2 linked regions of the Schizosaccharomyces pombe genome follow. The protein of the gene in region 1 binds, or shares a complex with, the protein of each later gene. Each region holds a gene or a part of one and is shown in the gene's direction. Other genes may lie near its edges.

Region 1 (7,043 bases):
AAAAGCTGTAGATTTGGGTTTATCGACTACGGAGCCGATTTAGTCCGGATTTTTTCAACAGCGAGATCTCAGAAAAATCGAAAAACACTGCTTCTTACTCACCAAAAAAATCCCTAAAATCACAGTAAAGTGCTTCAGGAAATGCGGATCCTTTTTTTGATAAAAAGGAAATTTGCTTGCTTTTTTAAGATCTCACACAAACAGAACTAAATCTTTCACCCTCTCTTATGGTGAGTTAGTGGTAAACGATAAATACTTGAAGGTTACATATTAGTAACTCAATTATTGTACCATTCGATTCCACTATGTTAAACCAATTGTATTACATAAATGATAAAGAATTTCATTGTTCAACTCGAGTTTTTCTAATAAACCATTTTTATTTATAGACTGCAGTGACTACTTATTCAAATTCACATTGAATATGAGAATAAAAACATTCCAAAATTTCTTAACATTTTCTTGTCATAATAAAAAGTTAATCACCAGGCTTCTGTTTAAAGGTTTTACCATTATTTAATATTTGGTATTTCAAACACAGAGCATAAATACCCGTCGCAGAATTGAAAAATAAAATCCTAAATTTTTTATAATTGCCCATTATATGCGTCTTTCGAACGTAAATAATCATCACTAAAAACCAAATCCTACAAATTTTTACAAAAATAATACACAAATACCATTTTGTGAAACATTAATTATCCCTCAACTCAATATTTTGGTAGCTTCATTCCTAACTGTCATCTTGGAAAGATTCGAATAACACAAAAGAAGAAACAAACACAAAAAAAACAGATTCACGGAACTAATCAAAAGATAGATGGATATGTGCAAAACAAAAGCTTAACAAGTAAACCAATTTCCTTCGTCTATTATAGAGAAATTTTTGAATACCGCTAAATGCAATCGCTTTATAGAAAATTCCTTCTAATATGAGTTGTATCTATCACCACAAATATACAGATAAAAAAATTCTATAACATATGTAAATACCAACTAACTTCACTCTCTTTAAAAAAGCAAAGCTAAAAACCAAAAAAGATACTTATCCAATTATTCTCTTTCCTCCTTCCAAATTTTTAAAAGAAACATTACCATAAGCTCATTTGGCTTGGTACTGCTGTCTGTAAGCATCCATTGCCTTTGATTCAGCTGCAGTTAAGTCTGATTTGGTAAAGTCAACAATGTCGTCCAAAGTAAGGATGGAGGAAACGGGTAAGTTAAGCTCCTTCTTCAATCTACCAATGGTACTTTCGTTTACTTCGGGGTCCAGTCGCTCTTGGCGGTCAAGCAAAAGGACGATACCAGCCAATTTTACGTGCTTAGGTTCTAAGAAGGAAATTGCTTCACGAATGGCAGTTCCAGCGGTAATAACATCATCCAAAAGTAAAACCTTTTTACCTTCCATTTCGGCGCCTACAAGGTTACCTCCTTCACCATGGGACTTGGCCTCTTTGCGGTTATAGGCAAATCCATAGCTCTTTCCAGTTTTTTCATAAAGTTTGACGGCCGTTATAGCAGCCAAAGAGATACCCTTATAAGCAGGACCAAATATGACATCAAAATCAACGTTCATAGCGATAATAGTCTCGGCATAGGCTTCTGCAAGAGCGCATAAATCGGCACCATGAGTGAAATTACCAGAATTGAAGAAGTATGGAGATTTTCTGCCTGATTTTAAGGTGAAAGTTCCAAACTTCAAAACATTATGTTCTAAGGCACGACGCAACAACTCAAGTTTATAAGACATGTTTACTACTAGTTTTGTTGATAAACGTTGATACTCACAAAAGAAAAAAGCTAGTATCACCTTTTCTAAGCTCTACATGGGGGTTATGTGGGGGAATAAACAAAAATCATAACTAAAGAAAAATGCAAGTTTGTAGGCAAACTACTCAATCTATAATCTAATGTGCAAAAGAGAATTAATGTCCTATCAAAATGGACTTTTTTCCTTTTATTAAAAAGTTTGACAAGTGCTTTTGAAGAAGCGAAATAATCTTGTCTCTGATAAAGTGCAATCGTTAACTTCCACTCAATTCAACCATGTTGGCTGAATTTTATCAATAACGCTCATATACTGGTTCACTCGATCCAAATTTCTGACATGTGAGTCTCCAGTCCAGAAAAGTTTCCAAGGTGTTTTGCTTGACTTTAAGGAGCCTACACTTCTTTCAAAGTACCATTTATTGACTGGATTAGTCAGGCGAGAGCGCCATATCAACTCTTTGGGAAATAAATCAGTCATAACATTAAACATAACATCAGATATTGCTGCTGAACCCTGGGCTCCTTGTGAGACGGCAAGCTTATCAAGATAAGGGACCTTTTCATTCGTTGTTCCATCTGGTTGTTCATAAGTTACAATGGCTGTCCCTAAATAGTCCCCTGCAATAATGACTGCAGCTAGCGAATTCTTCAACCTATCTAAATATGCGTCCATATCAAGCGTTCGCTTAAAGGAGTCATTAATTAAAACCCAAAGCCTTTCCCACGAAACGGAGCCATCAGTTAGACATTTCGGACCTAGGAATGTATATACCGGTACACCGCTACGCAAAACAGTTGTTTTCGTAATAGGAGATCGATCGCGCGGCAAGGAACATGAAATAATAGAGCGATCCGTCAAAACATTGTGAATTAACGGATTTTTGTCTAAGACAGGATTTGTAAGCATAGCATCCTCAGGCGTAGTGATTAGAGCAGAGGCATCATCCGGTAACATTTTCAAACAGCGTCTTACCAAAATCAAATTTTTTCTATGATAAGGTGGAAGTGTTTTCGCTAACTCGTCAAACTCTTGAGCCAGATTGATGAGAACATGACTAGAACCAGTTTGTCGTTTAGAACATGGCATGCCACCATTTTTATCAAGAATGACGATTCGGTCTACCCAAAACCCAAAGTTTGGCTTGTGTAACGAGTAAGTTAAACCAGCAAGAACCTCATTACCATCAATTGGAACCTCAATGACGTTGGGCATTAAAATCGAGCTTGGCACTATGACCGTGTAAAGTGAAGACAGCGCTTGAAAAATACCTTGCACATTCTCAACACTAGGGCCTTCAGGGCCCAATTGACATACAGAGGAGTAGCTAGGACGGGTTAACACTCCCGCTTTCGAAAAAATTTCCGAAACTCGAATGACTCTATTTTGCTGTTGCTGTAGCTCCTCAAAGATTGAAAGTTTACGTTTTTTCGCTACGACCGTACCATTCTCCAAATATTTAAAAGGAGATGTCATGCCAATTGGATTGGAAGTGGGAACAATCACTGATTGAATCCCTAAACGTGCCAGGCTATTTATACTTCGACCAATTCCATATAGGGTATTATCACTTAAAGAATCCACATCATCAATTTTGGTAATAGAAATTCTGTTTAAAAACGAACTCGATATTGGCTGAGCGAAGGATTTCTTGTTGGGAGAGCCATCCTTAAGCGAAGAATGTTTTTGCAAAAACCCTTTCGTAGACCTACGAGATTGGACTGATTTCAATATCCAAATAAGGTCTTGTGACAATGAAGGTTTTTGCATTCAAAATTATTACCTTAAAACGAGAAATATAAAAATTTGACAATCATATACCGATGACCTAAGAGCAAGATGTGATTTAGATGAGGGTGACTATTATGAGTCCGAAACCCACCACACAAAAAATTATGCTGTAAGGAATAACAACCAATAAATGCTATAAACGAACTCCAAAATAGAAAAACAAAACTTTAAATAAAAAAAGACATTAAGCCCAAAAACGGTACTATTGATAGGCATTTTTGTACTGTTCGTTGGTGATAGAGATGGCCTTACCAAGGGAACTTGAAATTTCATTCTCACCAGAGGAAATGGAATTTTTAGCTGGCAATGAGTATATTAACATTGTTCCTTCAGAAACAATGGATCAATTGCCGCTAGTTAGCGCGACGATTCCCATTATGAAGCCTCCCAAAAAATGTCGGGTTCCTTTATGGTTGGCTCTTGAGCTAAAAAAGCAAAATTTGGCAAGGATTGTACCTCCGGAATGGATGGAAATAGGCAAACTTGAAAACATACGAGATGATGAATTGGAAAACGAGACATTCTCAGAGTTGCCTTTTCGGTGGCTAGAAACGGCGCATTTATTGTTAAACTTCTGTGCTGATGATATCGAGGATGTTGAGGATATCAGGAGGATTTTGCTGGACATTCGAGAAGCTAGACAAAGTAAAGCAAGAACGGGATTGGAAGCCATTAATGAAGTTCAACTAACTTTGGATAATTTGGGTGCAATGGAAATTAACGAAATACGTCCTATATTTCGAGAGGTGATGGACAGAATGCGCAAAATTGTTCAAGTTTCCCAAGAAGAATGAGTTACTCATCAAAAGTAAAGTGGGAAATAAATGGACTTCACATGAGAATATTTCGGTATCGTGTGGATGATGTACTTTAAAAATAATGATAATGAATCCTACGAAGTGTTTATGAATACCAACTTTGTAGTAGTGAAATTTTATCACAGTAAGCAGTAGATGAGGGTTTCACACTTGCGACTTTGAACTCGATTTGGAAACGGTGGTGCTTTTTGATGAAGAAGAAGAGGAGGATGCCACCGTTTTTGTAGGTTGTCTAGCGGACTTTTGGGAGGAAAGCTCGTCTAGATTATAAAATTCTTTTATTTTTCTGAAATAGTAATTAGCAATTAGTGTTTCCAGTAGTACGTATGGCAAAGTAAAATTTGATATTACACTTACGTTCTCCACGGTGTGGCAGACACATTGCAGGAAAGATGGTTCTTTAGATCGCGCAGATGCATATTTCGTTGAGCGCGAGGAATAGCGGCGATACGCATTTCTCCTCGCATACGAATTGTTGAAGCAAGTAAACTAGCGTTTGAGCGCAAACGTCGTACTTTATCGGAAACTGAAAAATACCCGTTAACACTTTACTACTTCCAGGTACAAAAACTTACGTTCAAATGCTAAATTTTCAAGTATATCGTTCTTGTGTTCTTGGAGAATTCGCTGTCGTACTTGACGATGTTTCGTCTCTCCAAGCTCTTCCACTCTTTTACGCTTGTTCATCATTAAGCATTATAAATTATCAAAAAACAAAACAGATGTTTGCTAACAGCTGATCAAAAGACGGTACTTCTGGGTGCGCTGAAAAGGTGGTGGGAATAAGAGTTGTTGTATAAACAATAAATCTTCAACTAATATGTAAGTAACATCGTTACCTAATACTCAATATGTAAACAAACGTTAGAAAGGAGAGGATTGCACAAAAAAGCGTACCCAAAAGATATTTTATAAATTGAAAGAAGAATAATGACCTAGAATTAGAAAAAAGCAGCAAGTTTACAAAATAAAAGCGTTGAAACACATCACTTTAAAAGGTACATAAGAATTGATGATGCTTACTTCTAAGTAAATTATTAATAATATCAAATAAAAAAATATTGTACGAGGTAAAAGTCTCCCTCTTCAACTACATCGCATACAACATTGAAAACTGTTTAAAAAAGATATTTGGTATAACGTGTTCCAGTGCCATACGCTACAATGCAACCTCTGTTGTATTATATTTCGACTGTTAGCTTTTTTTTAACCCAATTCATAAGAAAATAGTTATGCCATTCAGTTAGTGACATTATCATATGTGTACATAAGATTATATATTCGTTTGTGACAAAATGCACTGCAAGCCGTCCTCACTATTTGCAATCCTGGAAAGATCGACAATAATCGTTATACACATTTACCGATATGTAAAGAATAGCTGCTTACCATTGGTAGTCGCTAGCGCCTGCGGAGTTACAAACCACCTAAACCAACCAACCGACCAACGAGACGAATATACCGTAACGAGCAGAATTTTGATTCCTGAGATCCTCCCAATAGTTAGAGCAATTGAAATAAGAATAGTCATTTTCCAATGAATCCATATGAGCCGGTCGAGGGGCTTTACGTGAATGCAAAGCAATACCATCGAATTTTGAAACGTAGAGAAGCTCGCGCAAAGTTAGAAGAGAGATTGCGTGGTGTGCAGACTACGAAAAAACCATATTTACATGAATCAAGGCATAAGCATGCTATGCGACGACCTCGTGGTCCTGGTGGCCGATTCTTGACTGCTGACAAAGTATCAAAATTGAGAGCGCAGGAAGCTGCAGAGGCAGCTGCTAATGGAGGAAGTACAGGAGACGATGTTAATGCCACAAATGCCAATGATGCCACCGTGCCTGCAACCGTTTCTTCTGAAGTGACTCACACGTCTGAAGGATATGCGGATAGCAATGATTCAAGACCTAGCTCTATCTCCAACTCGTCTGAGTCTCCAGCTCCTATCAATTCTGCCACAGCATCTATGTCTCCTGCTAACAATACTTCTGGAAACAACATTACTTCTCCAAATGTCAGAGGCGAGCTAGACATGAGTGGTAATATTGCCATGTCGGGTGGGCCCACTAATACCGCTTCCACCTCGGGGCCAGTGCCTCATGATATGACAGTGCTCCCACAGACCGACTCAAACACATCGAATCTTATGTCCAGTGGTTCTCAACTAGGCAGTTTTGCTACAGCTTCTACCAATGGCAACAACTCTACTACTACTACTACTTCGTCAGCTGCTCATCCAGGGTCATTTCATAAAGGTACTAATGATTATTCATCTACACTAGCTGGAAATGAGCATAGTGCTTTTCCTGGTCTGGATGTGTATCACGATGATAGCGTGTCTGCAGGTGCAGCTTTTATACCACACAATCCAATGGATTCGATTGATCACCTTGATGTCAATGATCCTACAGCCACAGGTCTCCCTGTACTACCAGCGAGCGATATCGATCCTCTTAATTTAACAGGCAATACCCAAGATTCTATGATAATTGGTCAGCAAACATATCCCTCACACGGTTCTTCAGGAACCATGAAGTAGTCAACTAATTAAGGCTGAGAGAGATACAAAACAATCACAAGACTGTGTATAGGTTGTCGACCTACCGACAAAGTTCAATTTAGGACTGCAATGTTGTTGGTGATTTTTTGAGAAAGAAACAAGT
Region 2 (5,217 bases), 1.7 Mb from region 1:
TGCTCCCTGAATGACTTGTGACATGAAGCGCGCGTCGTAAAGTAAGTAGGTGGTCAAAAGTAGTATAACGAAACCTTTCACAACTTTTCGAAATACTAAGTGGGGGAGACCTTGGGCAGTTGAAATGAATACATGGGGTAGGCAATTTACAACAACGAACACTACATTTCACTATACTATGCTGTATTAAATGTATTACATGTCCCCATGTTCTTCTTTGTATGAGTAACTGGTTCTACCGATACAACAAGCTTTCTTTGAATTTTGATTTTTAAATAAAATTTCATATCCATTATTTCCGTTTTATCTTTCAACTGTCTATTAAATAAACTTGTTTTTGTGACTAATCTACACTTGTTTATTCATATCATCTACTTAAGAGAATGTACTGAGTACAGAAAATGCTTATCGCAGTCTAACGATGTTTTGTAATTTTGCAAAGTGTATATGACCTTGATGGTATATATCTTTAGTCTCTAGTGGGGTAAAAGTTCTCAAACGGGGGCCAAATTGTATTATTACTTTGGAAGTAGTATCTTGCTGTACAAAAGTATAAAAAAAGTCTCACATATTACCTTTACCACCAAATATCTAGACTTGCCAAATGGAGCAATTTTCGTAAAATAATACAACAGATATAACTTGCTATTCCTTTAATTATTATTACCTTTACGTTCAAAAGACAATCCATTTGTACTGAATGGCTGATCCACTATACTCTTCGTTGAAAACTGTCAATTCAACTTCTAAAGTGACACCCGAATCCCTGGTATTTCAAACAAAAATCCTAACACCTGAAGAGGCAAAAAATGTTATAAACGAAAAAATTGCTTTCAAACCGCTTTTACTTGTCCCTTCTCTAAACTTAGAAAAACAAGGAGATCGAAAAGAGTCGGTTGCTTCAAAGAAAAGGAAAAAGTTGTCTTCAAAGGAGAAAAAAAAGCTGCAATTAAATGTTGTTCCAAAGATTGCTGACTATAGCCAATTCAAACATTTACATTCCATGTGGTGCTCTTACATATTAGAAGTGATAGCAGGATGCACAGGTGAATCTTTAATGGCCAAATTAGCAAAAGCAGAATATCAAGGTGCATATATGCAAGTTCTTCGGAGTAAAAGTACTACGCGAGTCGGACTTGAAGGTATTTGTATCCACGAAAGTAAACATATGCTCTCTTTAATTACTAAAGAAAACAGGGTTGTTCGTAAGTACCATTTTCAAAACATTGTATTTTGAAAAATATCTTTGCTGAGTAACTTTTTACTAATTCGTCTAGGTGTTCCCAAACAAGATTCTGTTATGAAAGTTATCGTTGATGTTCCCCAAAGGAAACTTGTTTTTGAATTGTATACTCAACATTTACTATTGAGAGCAGGTGATAGATCGAATAAGCGTTTTAAATCGAAAAATACAATAGATCTCTGAAAGTTGTTAATTACGTGATTCTCTTAGAGAATCGTACTTGCGATTGATTGAAATGGAATACTAGAGTGGTTTCTTTTTATTAGTGTATATATATTGGCAATTTCGTACAAATACTTAATATTGCTTACAGAGCACGCAGTGTAGACAATAACTTGTTCATACTTGGCAATATTGTATGTTTGCTGTATATTGTAGAGCTTAAACGACGCCAGTCTCTAAAATACTTTCAGAGCACAGATCTTTTTCCATTGTATTTATTGATCCAACATTTTAATACTAATTTTCGTTTACTGAATTTCTAAAGTATAAGTGATAAATCGCGCCTTTATGCAATTCTTCGCTATAAGATTATAGCCTTCGATTTTTTGATTCACGGGCAATAATATAAGATGTTACTGAAGTGTACGATAACTAAGACAAGTGAATGGAATGCATAGGATAAAACGAAGATTATGTCAAAGTCGTTTAAGAGCAAGATATGCTTTTGGGATTTTTGTTTGAAAAGGGACGTAAGTAACTTGTTACCTCTGCAATTGGACTGATTTAAGTGCTATGTAAACTACTAACATATCTTGAGTAAAAGCTTGTAGCTTTACAACAAGGTCTCATTTGCCTTCGTGATTTGAGCATCCTTGTATATTTTTTATGGATGGAGTGGGATGCTGATGATTTGCTAATAGAACCGACAACAGAAGTGGAGAATGATTATGAGGATTTATGTACTCAATGGGTGAATGAGCGAATGGCTCCGGATTTGTTGCCTTTTGCTGAAGAAATTGTAAGCAGAGTTCTTGATAGAATTGAAGCACAACGAGAAACTCTACAATTGGCCATTGGAACAAGTAGTGCAACTAGTTATAGGAGCGTACTAATGCAAACCGAACTTGAGCGAGTGAAGTTTGTTTTACGCTCGTATATGCGAACTCGAATCAATAAAATTGACAAATATGCTCAATACATTCAATCACATCCTAATTTATTGTTGTATTTGTCATCTCCAGAACGTCAATATCTTTTAAGGCACCAGCAAATAGTACATCGTCATTACATGGATTCATTTTTACGAGAAGTTCCTGCAAAAATGAATAAACTTGATGATAAGGTCGGAAATTTATCAATGGTAGCATCACCTGATATGGATACTGCCGTGTTTTGTGTGGTCAACGAGTCAGTCGAAGAAAACTTTCGAGTTTCAGAAAATGAGTATATAACTCTCGACAAGGGAGATGTTTTGATTCTTCGGTACTCTGTTATTTCTGATTACCTTCGACTTGGTGTTGTCTCACTAATATAATCCCGGCTATTAATTAATTACTACAATATTTCACAGGCTGTAGGTTGTACTGGATTGTTATTTAAAGTTGAATTTTCGCATGTAAATGTATAATTTGATCAACAATACAATATCATTATCTCTATTTTATAAGCTTCAAAAAGGTATAAATGATTTATCTAACTGATGTGATCAGTTTCAACAGTTTGGCAACCATATTTTCAATCAGGCATTCATATTAGTTAACGGTTGGAATAGAAAATGTTGTTCGCCAATGTTGAATGTAATATTTACATTTTCTAAACCATCCGGGGAATTGCGAAGGCGATCAATAACATCGTCTAAAAGAATTGCTCGTCCTACAGCAGAGCCGTCTCCAGTTTCATGGTCAACATGCAATATATGTACATGTAAGTGGTAGTAGGAAGGTAAATCTAGAGGAATGTCAGTAAACTATTTTGCTTTTAAATTATAACATACAATGGACAAACATCTTTAACTGATTTTTATCTACGGAAAATTGTTTTGGGACTTCTGTCAAGACTTTATTTCGAATGTTTTCTAAAAGAGGAATATGCTTATATTTCAAATCACGAATACTTGCAATATCCGTTGCGTGAACAATAGCCATTAAATTCAGAGCAGACATAGTTTGGCGATCCCACTTTCTAATTTTTGTTAGTAAACTTACAAAAGAACTTATATATGGTAAAACATGCACCCAAGTACCAGGGATGACTATTGCTGATAGATACAATTGGCATGCATTTAAAGGATGCAACTAATAAACCATTTTGAGTTATTCTTACAGATCAGGAATGACAATAAATCCATTCAGGGGATCCGGATCCTCAACGACAATACGCTCGGCCTCAGCTTTATGAGTAAGGATGTTTTCAACCCATTGAATTTGAGGACCTCTTTGAGTTTCAATAAACGGCTTAGTGACTTTTAGATACATTTCCGGCGTTTCACACACCATTCTCTTTTTTTGAGAAGAATATTTTCGTACATGCTACATACGGTTAATAGAGAGGAAAAATTGGTATTTTCTTACAGTCTCAGAAGCCGGCCAAATTAGTGTGGACTTCACAGAGGGCAATGTAGAACAATCTTGAAAATTAGTGCTTAGAAACCAATGAAAAACATCATTGTTTTCTACGAGTTTAGTATCTTGTAGAAATGTTGCCAGTTGGTCAAGCTTTATCGTGTTCAAATCGAAAGCTGTTTTTTCGAGCAAAAGTAATGCTACTTCGTTTCTGATTTTTCCGTACAAGGTTATTATTTTGCTTTTGGTATCATCTTTTAAAATTTTTTCGAATTTAAATTCTTTAAGCAGTTGTATTTTCGCGGCAGAACTTTCTTCCATTTTAAATTTGTCTCTTCTTGGGTATAAAATATTTAAACGTCCGTTATGTCTTACCGATAGAAGTAAAAAAATCCAAAAAGATTGAGAGGTACAACAGCTTTTGAGATGCTGAGACTAAAGAGCTTGTTGCAAGGCTTTAATAGGTTGATTCTACTACATAATATTTCACTTACAACAAAAAACTAAATAGTATTCGTAAGGTTAAAGGGAAACACGCCTTCTTATATAGTACCTAAAACAAATACAAATTATAACTATCAAATAATTTACTCTAAGTCTTAAAATCAAAATTTTTTTTTCTGTCAGACACCGCTACATAGAATCTTAATATCGTAGTGACCTAAAAAATTACAAAACAAACCGGTAATATCACATGCCTAGAGTTACTTCAAAATGTATATTGAGAATTTAAAATTGTGAAATAATTAATATATAACACAAACATTAAATCTATAAAGTAGTTATTTTCAATACTTATAAAGCTATATAAACATCTTTTCGTACGCGGTTGCTATTTATTCTAGTAAGACACAACTCGTACAACCTTTTAGACATTGACCAACCCGAATTGAAACCGAACCCTTATTCACAATTAGCATTTGTCTATACCTAATTGTTTATTTTCTCGTTTACGTTTATTATTTACAGGTGTTATATTTTTTTTAGTAAAGTTTAAAGGTTTTTTTTCCTTTTTTTAAGAATCATCTTTTCCTGTTAAATTCGCCTTTTGGGGAAGGAGGGTTAAGGTTAAAAGTTACGAATATGCAAACCCTTCTTTTCTACTTTTTTTTTATAAACTTGATTTTTGCCCACGATCTCAATGTGAAGACATACAAAGTAGGTGGTTTTGTTGCCATCAAATAATTGTTGATAACTGGGATTTTTGCATTATTTGGTTACTAACTTATGTATTAGCCTTGTACAATTCCTTCCGTATTCTCTGAACAATTTACTTCTGAAGACATCACAACCTGGCGCTCTCGATGGCGTGCTCCAGTGAACAAAGATTTGGGGGTTTGGGACTTGGTTGAAGCACCAGGCTCCCACTTAAGAGATGAATATGGTTTAATTACTTTGAAAAGTAATAAACCTCATATTCTTATAAGTAACCTAGAAAATCCTACTACTCGACAATCGTCATCAGTACCA

What was found.
Region 2: psf2 (region 1) and sld5 share a complex: the UniProt entries of both Schizosaccharomyces pombe proteins name them as parts of the GINS complex.

What each region holds. Positions count from the first base shown.
Region 1 is NC_003423.3:1,225,786-1,232,828, reverse strand, and holds psf2 (GINS complex subunit Psf2), read left to right. Parts: upstream 1-3,641; 5' UTR 3,642-3,801; coding exon 3,802-4,353; 3' UTR 4,354-4,521; coding exon of another isoform or gene 4,522-4,663; 3' UTR 4,664-4,681; downstream 4,682-7,043. Other genes in the region: orotate phosphoribosyltransferase Ura5, read right to left, coding at 1,103-1,750; acetylglutamate synthase Arg6, read right to left, coding at 2,036-3,538; nbl1 (borealin N terminal domain-containing protein), read right to left, coding at 4,522-4,663, 4,735-4,903, 4,953-5,067; CCAAT-binding factor complex subunit Php2, read left to right, coding at 5,915-6,919; tsp0 (tspO-like protein), read right to left, coding at 6,834-6,860. UniProt on the Schizosaccharomyces pombe protein: The GINS complex plays an essential role in the initiation of DNA replication. Has a role in chromosome segregation and is required for bir1 localization.
Region 2 is NC_003423.3:2,911,079-2,916,295, reverse strand, and holds sld5 (GINS complex subunit Sld5), read left to right. Parts: upstream 1-2,000; 5' UTR 2,001-2,075; coding exon 2,076-2,720; 3' UTR 2,721-2,824; downstream 2,825-5,217. Other genes in the region: RSC complex subunit Rsc9, read right to left, coding at 1-24; pop4 (Rnase P/MRP subunit), read left to right, coding at 701-1,205, 1,278-1,426; nhm1 (m7G(5')pppN diphosphatase), read right to left, coding at 2,925-3,133, 3,180-3,367, 3,509-3,714, 3,757-4,068; SPOM_SPBP4H10.19C (calreticulin/calnexin-like protein), read left to right, coding at 4,831-4,905, 4,984-5,217. UniProt on the Schizosaccharomyces pombe protein: The GINS complex plays an essential role in the initiation of DNA replication. Has a role in chromosome segregation and is required for bir1 localization.